Linked DNA regions of Xenopus tropicalis. The protein of the gene in region 1 purifies or fractionates together with the protein of each later gene. This does not show direct contact. Links are inferred from orthologs where the notes say so. Each region holds a gene or a part of one and is shown on either strand. Other genes may lie near its edges.

Region 1 (8,805 bases):
GACAGGCTGTTTATTACCGGATTAATAAATGTTTGTCTAATGTTTTGGCTCATACAGTGGGTAGACAAAAAACAAGGCACAGGCCCTCCTTTGGCTGCACACGTGTCACTGCTCAACCTGGTACATTTTGGCTCAAAAAAAAACCCCATCAAAAACCTATTACTGTGCTGAGGCCTCATTCACTACTGCAATTTCCTGCTCGTAAGGTTTTGCAATGGCAGTTTGAACCACCTCCTGCTTAAGTGAATATGAGCCTCAGGCAGTGGTTTGTGGTACTCTTCAGATGGCCAAGTGAGCTGGGTTTAGAAGTCTTACATGTCTCACAGACCTTAGTGCTGGAAGATCAGGACCTTCTCTGCTATAATAACTACACCATTCTAGATTATCATTCTGTTCTACTGGGTTTGAAGAGGAGCATGGAGGTCTGCTACCCAAGAGTTTGCATTACTAAGGCCATTATGCAATGGTGTGCTAGAAAATCATGTATTATCTTATTTGCTTTTTTAACAATAGACAATAGGAAATAACAGTGACTTTATAAATACCTGGAGTCTGTGAGAAAATAAAGAGAAGAAAGGAAAGGTAATAGGGCCTAAGAAAGAGGAAAGTATAACGTAAACAAAAGTTAAATCAAAGGTTCCAAGTAACAGCAGTGTAAAGGTGCCCATACACTATAAGATCCGCTCGCTTGGCGATGTCGCCAAGCGAGCAGATCTTCACCCGATATCCCCACCTACGGGTGGGCGATATCGGGTAGCAAGCTGCTTTAAAAAAAAATAATCCGATCGTTTGGCCCTGGGGCCAAACAGTCGGATTACATTTGAGCTTATGGGGCAGTCGGTTCGGGGACCGCATCAACGAGCCGATGCGGTCCCCGATCCGACCGGATTTTCTAACCTGGCCGATCGAGATCTGGCCAATTTTAGGCCAGATATCGGTCGGCCAGGCAGCCCTGTTCTGCCCATACATGGGCCGATTAGCTGCCGAATCGGCAGCTATAGTCGGCCCGTGTATGGGCACCTTAAAGCTGCAATGAATACAGACTGAGATTCCCATGAGGTCCCTTTAATATAGGGAAATAAGATATTCTAATGGCTAGCAGCTGTGGGAGAGTGCAACAATCCTATCAGTATTGATAATTCCATAGGGTCTGGCTAGGGTTGTGAGAAAAATACCAGCCTATATGTAGCCCACTTTTTAAACGCTTGTGGCACTACCTGCTGTTTTACTTTGGCGCTACAGGAGTCCTGAGCCCCCGCTTACTATGGGGGTTTACAGGGATTTCTCCCTTTAATGGCGTGCCTCCACCCAGGGATAGTCTTGTGGAACTGTAATCCACCCCCTGGGAAACGAATAGGATGCTATGCCCCTCTTGGGACCCCCGTACTCCTGGTGTAATGTACCCCACCCTGGGGTCGTTCCTTACCAGCTTGGTAGTGGTCCTCTGGGCTTGATAGATATTCCGACACAGTAGTACTGTATATGTGAAATAGATGTAAAGGTTTATTCAGGCAGACACCTCTCCAGGAGTGGCATATCATTTATACACATTGCAGGGCATATCTCCTTACTTCTTATTGAGAACCTTTTCCTGTTGGACTACCCCACGGTACTTTCAGCAGTGCTCCCCTCGGTACTCTCGGCAGAGACACTCCATCCTAGAGTTCTCCCGGTACTCACGCTAGGACGTTACACCACAGGGACCCACACACCGGTACTCTCGCTAGGCACCCTCAGATCCGGCCTCCTGGACTAGCGGTGACTTGATCCACCTACCTAGCCACTTAGTGCCCTGCACTCCAGCAGATGTAATACTGGGGGATCTTAATCCCACTACCACTCCTGGAGGGGCAATATCCGCCCATTCTAACTTGGTGTCCTACATGACACTCCTAGAATGTCCTATTACTTGAACTACTATCTATTAACTGGGGACTGGTAGCTCTACTACCCAGGCCTAAGATGGCTGGCAGCACATGGCTGCAACACTTTATATGGGCCTATGTACCACCCTGTGGCCATAACCCGAACTACAGGTATACTCCCTGTTAACTATTTAGAACCCAGTCATCCTAGTGTCCCTGTTAACTAGCACCACCCGGTGGCCTGTCCTAGGGGTGTCTGTCCTAAGGGCCCATTTTTGGTAAACCCCTACATATATATTTATATTTTTTTCCCCTATGGGATCAAGCATCATTTTTACCAGGGCTGTGGAGTCGGTAGATAAATTCTCCGACTCCGACTCCTCAGTTTCTGATACTTCCGACTCCGACTCCTCTGTTTTTAATATGCTAATGTATTTTATACATTCATACAGTCAATGAAAAGCATGCTTCATGGTCACTTAACGTGTTCGTTTATGCACCGCGTGCATTGGGCTTATATAGCAGAGAAGTAATTAATTATAACTGTTTGTAAATTGGGACATTTAAACTTGCTTTACTTTTTTTTTTATTCCCATTTAAATTTAGTAGGAGTCGGAGTCGGTTCATTTTTTGCCGACTCCGTCTCCGACTCCACAGTCCTGATTTTTACTGACCAGGCCGGTAAATCCACGTGGCAATCCCAGGACGGGGCTATAGCAAAACTTTGGAGTTGGGAAGAAATATATATACCAAGGTTCCCAGATTTCCCTAAATTTCTTGTCTGTCTATAAGTATGCTGGTCAGCTTTAATATTGTTTTTAATGTTCTAGCACCAAGTCAAACTAGAGCTGAATGGTAGTACACAATAATCTGCTCTGCAATCAAAGGGCAATTTAGGCATTGGGCTCAAAGGCCTCTTTCCCTAATACATTACAGTCATACGAGACAGATAAATTGGGCAGGTTTTACAAATTGTTCGACACCCATGGAAGCACTTTGCCCCACCCCCCGTGACGTCACGTCTGAAAAAAAAAAAAAAGAACTCGCAGCTCCGTTGCCGCGGTGATACTTTCCAAGAAGTGGGCGGGCCGGCATTAAGGGGAAGTGGCGTTAACTAGCTACTGACGACAGAGGGAGCTGAAAAATGGCGGACGGTGGCCGGTCGTATGTCGGTAAGATTGTATAAGCGAGTGACTATTGACAGTAGGGACTAGTTATTCGTGAGCAGAGTATTTATGTTTGTGGGGGAGGTGGTTCCTACACATGTGCCCCGTTTGTTTAGCTGCTGGCGATTAGCTGGGCCCTTGTTGGCCATACATGTTTTTCTAGCGACCTCGCTTCTAGAGAACAGATAATGTGTTATATGATAAATATATAGTATATATGTGGCCTGTAACTGGGAGGCAGTATCCTGAGTGCTTATTCGTAACAAGCAGCTTCTGTATGAGTCCGGAATAATCCCCGTTAACACATTCCTATGGCAGTGGGCGAGTGTCGCTTTGTTTTGGCCCCCCACCTCGTGTAATGAAGCCCACGTGTTGCTTTCTCAAGGGCCCCCTATGTTAAGGACACGAATATATATCCCCGTCCAAATTTGATATATGGGTAAGGGTCTGGCCAGACCTGAAGAAATCACACTGACACGAACAGGTTCAGTAGCAAAACGTCTTCTTTTCTGATTGATCTCAGGGTAAAGGTATTTAAGCTCAGGAAAGAAGGGGGGAAGGTGGGGTGTCTTGCTTGCAAAAGCTGCTTGTCAGCTAGATATGAGAAAGGCAACATCTGTAGAAGCTAAGGGGAAAAATATAGCCCCCTCTCTTAGTAAATTGTGGTTTGGCCTTCTTTGAGTTCTATGCAGCGCTGATCTGGCATTTGAAGAGGTACTTTCTTGTTTCTTGAGAAGTTGAAGCTTTGGTTGGTTGTTCTGCAAGAGGTGGGTTGCAATTGCGAGATATGAGACACTGATTTCTGTGCAACCTAGCTGAGCAAGGAAATGGAAACACTACACAGACATAAATGAGACATATTACAGACATGGTATATATTATATATTACAGAGGAGGTTAATTGTCGCCCCCCCATATTTGCCAGCTGAACCTCAAACATGTCCCCTTGAACTTTATGGGAAGAGAGACACACAAATCCAAGGAAATCTAAAATACATGTTATCAATACTCAAGTTGATATCCGTATATTAAGAGAAGCTTTTTACTGTAATTGTTTTCTCTATTATCCTCTTATGTTGCATATGGAACCTAAATTTACAGTTCAATAGTAGTTCATATTGTCACTTGTAGTGTAGTGTAGGGGCCCTGATGGGAACATACCCCCATATGATCTGTCATTTCAGCTCCTGCAAAATCAACATATTTACATCCTTTATGTGGGATAATGCTACAAAAAAGTACACTCACCCCAGAAAGTCGTATATTTTTGGAAAGTACACATTGCCCCGAATCTCTAATGGGTACACATTTCTTTTTACTCCAAAGTACCTAGCCGCAAAGCTTTCCTGTTTGCCGATTTTTAATGACATTTCATAAAATTGCCTAAAAATCTTGCAATTTGCCACATTTATCTCACACAATTTCTTGCATACAAAGGCAAATCACCACAAATAGGAACACCCAAGGTCTACTGAACAGTTTGATGCCCAATATGCATAGTTATACCAAAGTCTGTGGTGTGTACTGACCCCAAAATGAAAATAACGTATATGGATTTCTCACCTGCCAACTCAGCTTTTACACAGAGCCCCCTGACAGCGTATTATGTGCCGTAACCCCCCTTACTATACAGGCACCCCCAGAAAACTATATATTTTTGGAGAGTACACATTCTGATGAATTTAAAGTTATTTTTCTACACCAAAGTTACACGTGGCAAAGCTATGCTAAAAACAGATCAAGAATACTAATACAGGGATAAAAATGCAATAAAACCACAAAAATTGTGCAAATTAGTGAAACAACAAAATAAGTCACACAACAGCATAATTAGTGGTCAGAATATCTTATCTAATAGTCACGCTGTTATAATAAACAGTTTTTAAGGAAAAGAAACTAAAAACAAAGTGGTAAAAAAAAAAGTGTTTGTGTATACATGTGTGTACATGTGTAAAAGTTGTGTGACAGTGTGTAAATGTGTATATAAGTGTATATGTGTGCAAAACAAAAATAAACTGCAAAATTGTGTGTAAGTGTGTGTAAATGCAAAAAAAAAAAATCACCCTTACCTGTCTTGAAGCTTGCCTGGTCCTGCAGTCCTGTCCTCCATGTCGCTTGAAGTCAGTGGGCCGGCGCTGGGGGTGGGGGTGCAGGAAGTGGAAACAAGCAGCAGACGTGATGCGATCGCGTCGCAGGGCCGACATGACAGCCCCCCTGGCTCGTTGCCCAGGGGGCTGTCATCGCTAAAAGCTCTCTGCAGAAGTGGCATAGAAGTATCTTTATCTGCCAAACGACGTACGGCGCACGTCGTTGGCAGATAAAGCCATTTACTGCAACGCCGTACGTCGTTAGCAGTTAAAGGGTTAAAGGTTATTTGTAAATGTAGTTACTATTTAAAGCGGCGTTTGCTTAATTCTTGCAAAGACTCCTCCAGCAAGACAGGTATACCAATCTGCTCTTGTGTAACATTGTTTCAAAAGTCAGGAGCCACCAGGGTAGAAAGTAGAAAAGAGCAATTATATATACAAATAATGTAAAAGACATTCCAAATTTGTACTTAATGTATATTGCAATTTGCTTGGACTTATGTTTTGTTAGGCAAGAAAATATTTTTGGGGTTGACATGTCCTTTAATGGGTAGAAATGATTACTGTTACAATAGACTGCTCTGCAAAGTTAGATTGTGAAATGTTAAAGAATGAAATGCTAAAGCAATTTTTCCCAAGGGGCATAAACTAAGTTGGTAAATTACCTTTACAACCCAAAAATTGGTTATGTACTTTGTTGAAATGATGCTATCCTATAGTAAGAGTTAATCTCTCTATATTCAGGGTTATTGGAGTGATCCACCCTAAACAGGTTTAACAGTCTCTGACCTAAATCAAAGAATTGCACAGCGATAGACTATGGCTATAACACACATTTACCTGCTTTGCTTGTGAGTATCACTAACCTTGATAACTCGAACACAATTGTATATGAATAGATGAGCCGATGTGACTTGTTCCCTTCAGAGCTGCCCCTAGCACCCCGAATATAGAGCATATATATTCATCGCACAGCTCTGGACCCCACATACTTTTTAATACATAGCCCTTGTGTCATTGCTTACCTCAGACATCCTGTTAATACTCATTAGACTTCAGAAGGCTACTAAATCACAGGAAAAATACAAAATAGTGGCCTTGAGTTAGTACAGGGACACTAAAGTAAATATGCCCTGTATAACTCCCTAAATAAGCTGCTTTGGTGAAATTTACTGTGAGCACTGTGCAGTGCTTACACATGCAGTGGGCACCTTGACTGCCCCTCTCTGCAGGAATGAATACACTCTACATTGTAATATCGTGTATTAACTCATTTGAGAGTTAATGTGGCAGCTGCCATATTGCCATTGTGTTTTACAAACAGAGCCGCAGTCTGTTATGTTTGCAGAAACTTTTGTTTATTCAGTGGCTCTTAAAGGCAGTGTTATACCTTTCTTTATGCTTTTAAGGGCCGTGACAGACAGGGAGATTAGTCGCCGCATGACAAATCTCCCTTGTTGCGGGCGACTAATCTCCCCAAAATTCCATCCCACCGGCTAGAATGTAAATCGCTGTTGGGATGGCATACGCGGATTGGCGATTTGCCGAAATCGCCAAAGTTGCCTTGAGAGGAAACTTCAGCGATTTTGGCAAATCGCCAATCCGTGTGCCATCCCACAGGTGATTTATATTCTAGCCGGTGGAATGGCATTTTGGGGAGATTAGTCGCACAGCGACTAATCTCCCTGTCTGTCACGGCCATTACAGTTATTTTTAGTATTCATTGCTTTATTTAATTTTACATGCACAGACCAGTTGATCTAGAAGCATTTGGCGTGAATCACCTAGCAGAAATGGCAATTGGCAGAAAAGAGGATGACTGTAAATAGAAGTTGTTTAAATGATGTCTAAACTCTTAGTAGCAGGGTGTTTAGCTAGAATGCTTGGATTGACTGTAGACGCACTGCAGCTAATCTGATAATTCTGCTTTTTTTGGACCAGTAGTACCACAAAATAAAATTGATTTACAAGCAATCCCTCCCCTTTTTGTATTGTCTTTGAAAAGACATAGCCCAATTCAGTTCAGTTACCACAAGCCTGTTTTCAGTGTTATATGTTTATTAAAGCTAAATTATAAAATTGATTATCTGAAATGCTTGAGTTTGTATAGTTAGCAAATATTCAGAGGCTCCAGCAGTAATAATCTGGTGCAATAAGGCAATAATTGATGATTGAAATAATCAAGTGGGCTGAATGATTAGTAACTGACCTATGGGAACCATGGCACATTAAGTAGTTTTCTTCAAGCAGGTTACTTGCTGTACCAGAACAACCACCCTGTAAAAATGAGGTGTGAATCACTGTGGGAATTTTCCAGTATGGGTATGAAAATTTCTTTCCTTTTATAATTTTGTCACTGGTAAGTTTTTATACTGCAGGTTTATAAACAAGATTTCTCTCACGTCTAGGGGGACACAGGGACCATGGGGTAAAGGGTCCCTCCCATCAGGAGGCAGGACACTGATGACATCAGAACTGAAGACCCTCCTACTCACCCTTTATCCCCTGCTGCCTCTGAAAGGCGCCAGTTTTTTCAGTGTCCTTCATACAGGAGGTTGGACTGGCCTTATAAGGCCCAACTGGAATTCTTCGGTCGGTAGTTAGTACTGACACCCGGGGTGCAGCTTTGTCAGACCTAGTCTGTTCAATATAGGCAAGCCCCCGCCGTGGGATACCCATGTTTCCCGAACCCCCCGCGGGTACCGGGCTACAAGAGGCCTGACAGCAGCGCCCTTATAGGGCAGGTCTGCAGGCTGGCGCCAAGGACCCGAACCCCCATGCTCGGGACCTGCCGCCACACTGCCAACGAGCCAGTAAGCTCCCCACATAGCGTAACGCTACCCGACGCGCCGGCACCCAGAAGTGACGTCACACTCACCGGAAGCCGACTCTCGCGCGCAGTAAGGAGAGCAGCGACGCAGCTTCGCGCCATAACTACACAACGGTGCGCAGATAGACCCGCAGGCTCTCCTACTCCCCTATAACCTAGACGCTCCGGTCCGTGAGTAACGCCACATCTGCCGAGCACTCTCTCAGCATGGCAGAAGGCAGGGGAGATTTATTTTCTAGGGGGGGCAAGCACCATAACTCGGTGGCTACCTTTTTTGCATGTACTAAATGTCTCGCTAAGTTCAGGGAGGGCCAGGCTGAACCGCTCTGCCCTTCCTGCGGCCCTGCACAAGCACACAATTCTGGCACATCTACCCAGCCACAGGTTGGGGCAAACCCTGAGGGTACATCACAAGGGCCCTCTACTAGGGACACTATAGAACCCCAGAGGCCTTCTGAGGCACCAGATTGGGCGATCTCACTCTCTCAATCTTTATCCAGCCTGCAGTGTATACCTCAACTGGCATCCTCACTTGATAGGATGCTTTCCAAAATGGCCTCTACCCCTGACGCCATGCCTAAGCGCAAACGGCCTTGTCTGACTGACACATCCCTTAAGGGATCTTCCACACTCCCCTCCTCTGATGAGGAGATTAGTGATGGGGAAATAGTCTCCTCCCCAGCGGGCTCTGACTCCAGTGAGGAAGACAACACAGCAGACACAGCACCCGGGGTAGATAGCCTCATTAGAGCAGTACTTGAAACCCTACACATTCAGGAAGACCCCACGCAGAAAAAGTCTTCCACACTGTTTAAAAGACAACGCAAGTCACCTGCAACATTTCCAGCCCACGAACA
Region 2 (6,804 bases), about 85 Mb from region 1:
AATAAGCTACTCTTTGGTTTTTATTGCAGGAAATTGTCTTGGTGAGGGGGGCTGTGAGCAGGTGCAGGAAATCCTGGAAGGCATTAGCATGGCTAACATATTAGGCTCTTTAAGGTATAGTATGCTGCATATATATGCTTCTCAACCTCAACTACCTTCTCTACTGAGGTATTGTGTGTGTGTGTGTGTGTGTGTGTGTGTGTATGTATGTATGGATAGATAAATATATCTAGTGTAGTCATAATTAAGGTCCCTTGCAATGCTTGCAATGGAAAGCAATATATGACAGTTTTTCTGTGTTTTAAAACATGGTAGTCTATGGAATTGTGATACCCTAAGTACAGAAAACTGCAAAGATCTAATTTATTGTATAAATATTTACATGGGAAGTTTTGTCCCATCGGGATAATTTCATCTCTTTAAAATAAGCATGGGTATAAAAAAAATTGGTCTAGCATTTGTATAACATCTTTACTTTGCTGTAGTGATGATGAGGGGGATGAAGATGAGGATGAAGATGAAGTAGATGATGATGACGACGATGATGACGACGACGATGATGAAGATGATGAAGAGGACGTGGAGGAGGAGGAAGAGGAGGAAGATGTAGATGATAATGAAAACAGAACAAAGCCTAATAAAATTTCATCACATGTAAGTATGAAAGTGTCTACAGCATAATTGCGGGCATGCTTGAAGGTGTCTGTGCAGGGATGAGCATCCTTTAGGAAGGATTCAGTGCAGCTAAACACTGCAGACCACTATTAATGTTTTGTAGCTGTTTGGCTGCCTTGACAATAGATCTTTACAAGCGCTGGCACATGGGGCATTTTGTCACCTGTGGAAATTCACGCCATACTGTAGGCGACAAATACCTATCTATGGCTGCCTATTCAGATTACATTTGTAAAATAATCCTGTTCCACATTAAGGGGCAGATGTATAAAAATATAAGTTTAGAGATTAATACTAAAAATTAAATTAAAAACTGACCCACACTCTATTTATTCCTATGGAATTTTTAGAAGTGTATTTATCAGTGGGTGAAAATTTTAATTCACCAATTGTTAAATACACTTCTTAAAATCCCATAGGAATAAATAGAAGTGGGTGAGTTCTATTCACAGTTCTAAACTCACATTTTGATAAATCTGTCCCTAAGTGTTAAATGTTTTCCATATGATGTTTCGATAGGCTAACAAGGAATTTTGTTTTATTATAGGTTAAAGATTCCACCCCTATATTTTCTTTTAGTTGCAGTTTCTCTTGTTTTGTGCAATGTTTTAGCTTCAGATTGGGGAACTTCAGTTACCTGAAGTCTGCAGCACCCCTTTAAATTTAAGGTGGGCATACACTGTAAGATCCACTTGTTTGGCAAGGTCACACCTACGGGTGGGCGATATAGGGCTAATTTGATCATTTGGCACCACATTTCTTTTAACATTGGGCAATATTAATTGGTCTCAATGCACAACAGAGAAGTTAGTGCTGCACACCATATTTACTTTTTGTTACTTTAGGTATACATGCAAGTTCTCAAGGCCATGTTTCATAATCTTGGGTGCCCTGATGTAGCTGCACTACAGCTCCAAACATGCTTTTACCTTGATATTAGTTTGGCTTCTGTGAATTGTAGTACATCATCATCTGGGGATCCAAGCTTAAGAACAGGGCTCTAGGCTTGTGTAACTTATTTTTCTTTTCTAAACCCATGGCTGACTTTACCTTGACACTGAGTAAGATTGCACAGTATCATGATGGTCCTCTTTTAATTTGCACTGGGTTGTTGTGAAGTTAGTGCACACACTATGATCAGCCTTGTATGTATCTACCACAACTATCATTCCATGCCGTAGGGAGTATTTTTATGCTTTGCCTTCTGCCCTCATTTGCCATTTAGCCTTAGGGAATGCTTCTTATGACTTCCTCTTGGTGGGAGAATTGTAGTTGTAGCAGTAGGCAACAAACATCCCTTTGCTGTGGCAGTTACCTATACTTTGTATCAAGTTTTAGTTCTTTTATGTTGGCAGTTACCTGTAAGTGCTTTCAGGAATAGGTGTGAATCTTAAAATTTATAGATTATCTACCGTGTTTTTTTTTTTTTTTTAAAGGTATCCACACCAGCCGCTCCACCTAAACTTCCAGTTGATGCATCCACCTTTCTTAGCTTTCCCTCTCCTGAGAAGCTTGTGCGCATGGGTCCTAAACGTTCTACAATGATAATGCAGCAGGTTGGTGTTTTCATTATCCAATATGGTTAATTGGTTATCAGAATATCAAGAAGAAGAAATGTTCATGCCATGTTCAATTCAACCATCCACGCATTCTTTATTTCCTCCTGGTCAGCAACAATGTATTCATTATTTATCATAAGCATACAACATCAATTCCCATACCCCCTAGCTCAATATATATGCTTTGTTGTCAATGAGTTAATTATAATGCCAAATGTGCATTATCCATAGGTTGAGCATTAGACTGGATGCCTAGGGCTTATACTGTTGTATTATTGTATTGTAAAGCACGAATCTCTACCATCCTTTCAGCAGCGTGCCCAACACTTGTAACTGGCACTCTATTGAAGCCATAGTACCGTGCTTACTCATGAGAGATTCATCAATGTCTTGAGCTGCTTGTTGTGCCTGAGACGTGTTTAATTCAAAATAAATTATTTGGTAAATCCAAGGATCCTGTCATTTCCTGTATCCACTCATATTACCAAGCACATATAGAATAAAGATGACCATTTAGAGTTTACCGCACTTCTAATTGTAGGTTAACTATAATTTTGCTAAACAAATACAAACTAGAATGCTGGCATAACTTCTTTCTTTTTCACAACTTCTTTGTAATTGTGTTATCTCCCTTATCTTTAGATCGATGTTGCAGATACGGAAAAGGTGGTCCAAACGTTCATCCAGGTCTCCTCTGTGTACAGGGATGACAGTGAAGTAAAGGCGGCTGTTGAAGAAACTATTGGTGTGTGCTAGTTACTGCCATTTCTTTTGTCTCCTTTGTGCTCCGACCTGTGTAAGCATATTCTAACGGTCTCTCTTAACTGTTCTAGATGGTCTAATGAAGAAGGCTTTTGAAAGCCGAGGTTTCCAAGAAAATCTGTTTATCACTAGTCTATTGGTGCATATGGGACTTCTCAAGGTATTGTATGAATATTTTTGTGTGGTGTTAATTATTAGTCTGGTCTTGTTAATTAGCCTTCCCCTTTAGAGTAGAAGGGGACACGGTCTATTTGCCAGTGTGACCTGTGTATTTGTATTTTATGTTTAATATATATTTTTTATTTCTTGTCTTTCCTCATGCTCAGAGTGAAGACAAAATTAAAACGGTACAGCACTTAAATGGCCCCTTGCTAACTCTGAATCACATGGTACAACAGAATTACTTCCCAAAATCTCTTGTTCCTATACTTCTGGCTTTCATCTCAAAGTAAGTACATAAAACACATTATTTAATTTTTTTTCTCATTCCTTCATGTATTTCAGCTTGGTAGCTACTTCAGTTACCCAGAGGCATGAGTTACAATGCTTTAGAGCAGTGATTCACAGCATTTCCCTTACGTGCAACATGTTGCTTGCCATTCCTTTTGACTTTGCTTTTTGTGGCCTCAAATCTGGTGTTAATGTTAAAATTCCAGGTTTAAAGACACTAGTTTACTCAGTCTACATGGGCTACCAAACATCCAATTGCAGGATTTATTTGGCAACACCCTGGAAATTTTTTAATGTTTGTGTGGCTTCCATACATTTTATACAGAGTTTGGCTCACAGGTAAAAGGAGTTGGGGAGCCCTGCTTTAGAGTATGTTAGTAAGATTGAAAACAATATGTCCTTAAGATCAGGATACAGGCAGGCAGAGCAGCCCTAGTCCTAGATATATGGACCACTTAAAGGGGATGTTCAGCATAGTCTGAATTTGAGGAGCCCCTGTAATTCATCTTTATTATTTAGAATGTTTAGTTTTGAAGCTACAGACCAGAATCAGTGCCGCTAAAACTGTCTGTGCTTTGCTCTATGCTCTCTTTGGAAGGGATCGCCAACACGAACTTGCATTCTTCCATAACAGGAAGTTGGCACCACTGAACTTGCTACTCATGCCTTCCCTCTCCTGCTTCATTTACATTTCTGATTGAGCCAGCCAGTGGTATCAAAGATGTGCCAATGATGCAGGAGAGGGAGTGCCCTCATATTATGTAAGTCTAGTGAATATTAATTTTTAATAGTTGACTGAAACAAAGTTGGCCTCCCCCACTTTTCTATAAAATACCCAGTTTACAGTATTGTTGTTCTTGAGTTGATTGGCTTTTTTGCAAAAGGGGAATTATGGACATTATGGCTGTCATTGTTACACACTACATGGACACTACACAGACTTCATAACTGAACTCTCCGGACCAGATGAATGCACTGTCCATAAATTCCACCTGCTACTACTGTTTGCAGTGTTCAGTAAAAAATCAAGCGCTGACAATTATGTCTACTGTGGCCCCAATAACGCTACACGTGTTTTGTACTCGGGGTGTAAGAATCACGCCTGTTTATCCTTGATATATGTTAATATAGGTCTGCTCAGCTCAGCTTTGTGGGACTTCAATACAATATTATAACCTTACCCAAGACAAAATATTATAACCCTTTATATATGATGTTTTCCATTTCTTGGATATGTATGCAGTGAGAGAAATGTCTGTGTTTATATGCTCCCAGTTCCTGTTCCTTAGACTTTAAGGTACTGTTAATATACAGCTATGAGTGCTTGTGGTTACTTGGTGCTAATATACATCTTAAGTGCCAATATTTATATAATATATACAGGGTATATTCTATACTGCCCTGAGCCTTTTACAAAACACATCTAACCAAATGTAATGAACGTTCTCTAACAAATATTAACAGAACAGTCGATTGCTTTACTTTACGAATAATTTGATCTCTCTCCTTGTCATTTCAGGCCCAACCGTGTCCTGGAAAATAACGCCAGTGCCAGACACACATTGCTGCACAACCTTCATAATCTGTAACCTGCTTTGCTTCAACTTGGACTAAACTTTACCCAGCCCACAAAACATAAAAGCTCTTCATAGCAGGTTATATATGAGCAAGGGTTTATTAGGCATATTGCTGGGGAATAAGTTCCTTCTGGTCTTACCTACAAGGGGCCCCATTCCAGTCTTTTTGTTTACATTTGAAAAGAACTGTTCACCTCTCAATACCTTGATGATCCAGAGGCCCAGATTTGGACTCCAGATGAGCATTTTTTATAGGTTCATTGAGTGTTGTGTAACTGAATAATGTTACATCATTGGACAGTTCTCATATTCTCATTGAGTGGCGCATCTGTGTTTAATGCCAAATTATTGGATAATACTTTGTAAATTGAGTTTAGGGACAGTAAAAGTACTGTATCTTTATCATAAGCGATTGTACATGTATACACTGTATTCCTTCCTTAACGAGAGAAGCTGTAATGCATATCGGGTGCATATTTAGCCCTTGTAATTCCTGAAACAGTCTACTCCTGTTCCTGCCATAACTTTAGCCTGTTTGTCTGGCAGAGCTTGGCTTTAAGCTAAGGGAACTATCATGCATAGTACTCAAAGGGTAACAGATTACTCTTACATTTGTATACACTGCAAATCATATTCATGTTTTATTTAAATTACCTGGAGCAGATACTTGTGTTTTGGAAATACTTGTGCAGTTATTACTTGGCACAATAGAATTGCATTCAGTGATTTAATTACGCTCACTCCTTAGTCTGCAATTGTTCTACAGGAAGAATGTACCATAGGCCTTGCAGATGCCATTCATACCTAATGTGCCAGTACCCTGATGGCTGTAAGGTATTGCTGCTGTTCCTGTATAGTTTTCTATGTAGTCCTCTTTGGTGCCTACTCAATGGACATTTGAAATTGTTTTAGTCTTTATAGCTTTTAGAGTAGATTTGGGAGCAATTGTGCAAAAGGAAAAAAAAAATATGTAGCATTAATGTCCTTTAATGGCTGAGTAGAAAAAGAGTGTAAGCCTTTGGGTATCTGTCATCAAACAGCATCCTACCGTGCTTCCGCCAGCTGATTGCATCTACACGTGGGGGCGGCTTGCTCTGCTTTTTATAATCAGTTATTAAAGATTTCCTCTCTATACCAACACTGCTGGCAAGAGTGTTGGAGTTTTTTTTTTTTTTGTTTTTTTTTAAGACGCAAAATGTCCCCAGTGATTTCCTTTGTAAATAATTTGTATTGCTTCTCAAGCAAAGACCCTACAGCTTCAGGGCGACTGTTGCTTCACTTCCAGGAGCCATCATGGATATCTATAAGGCCTATTCCAGAATGGATATTCACATCATATCATGGCTCTCCTTGATAAAACGATTTAGCTTGGGTGTGTGTATAGACTTGCTCACTTACCTCAAACACCACTTAAAAAAAAAAAAAAAAAAAAATTGTATACATTGTGCAGAGTAGTTCTCCATATTAAAAAAATAAGGATAGTAACTGTCAGAAATCTTAATCATCAAATGACAGTAATAAAACCCACCATGGCTCAAAGGCACTGATGACTTGTTCTGTTTTGTCTTGCAGGAGTTAAATGCTTGTGTTTAAAAGTTTGTTGGCCATTAGTAACTTTGGCACATTGTGCAGTAACTATGGCCTGCAGGAAAGGTCTGTCCACTTATTCTGATATCTGATTTCATTGGGTTCTTAATGGAACAATTCAGTTTAAAAATCAAACTGGGTAAATAAACTGTACAAAATGCTTCTAATTTAGTTAGCCAAAAATGTAATCTATA

The links.
Region 2: the proteins of nxf1 (region 1) and rangap1 purify together in Homo sapiens (co-immunoprecipitation; 3 studies listed by BioGRID and IntAct, with this or other methods). This does not show direct contact. The link is inferred for Xenopus tropicalis from reciprocal best matches to the Homo sapiens genes NXF1 and RANGAP1.

The regions. Positions count from the first base shown.
Region 1 is NC_030680.2:36,526,576-36,535,380, reverse strand, and holds the start of nxf1 (nuclear RNA export factor 1), read left to right. Parts: upstream 1-2,979; 5' UTR 2,980-3,009; coding exon 3,010-3,037; intron 3,038-3,451; exon of another isoform or gene 3,452-3,466; coding exon of another isoform or gene 3,467-3,515; intron 3,516-5,872; exon of another isoform or gene 5,873-5,969; intron 5,970-8,805.
Region 2 is NC_030680.2:121,799,669-121,806,472, reverse strand, and holds the end of rangap1 (ran GTPase-activating protein 1), read left to right. Parts: intron 1-29; coding exon 30-114; intron 115-485; coding exon 486-654; intron 655-2,111; coding exon 2,112-2,231; intron 2,232-2,876; coding exon 2,877-2,979; intron 2,980-3,067; coding exon 3,068-3,156; intron 3,157-3,322; coding exon 3,323-3,444; intron 3,445-4,965; coding exon 4,966-5,035; 3' UTR 5,036-6,450; downstream 6,451-6,804. UniProt on the Homo sapiens protein: GTPase activator for RAN. Converts cytoplasmic GTP-bound RAN to GDP-bound RAN, which is essential for RAN-mediated nuclear import and export. Mediates dissociation of cargo from nuclear export complexes containing XPO1, RAN and RANBP2 after nuclear export.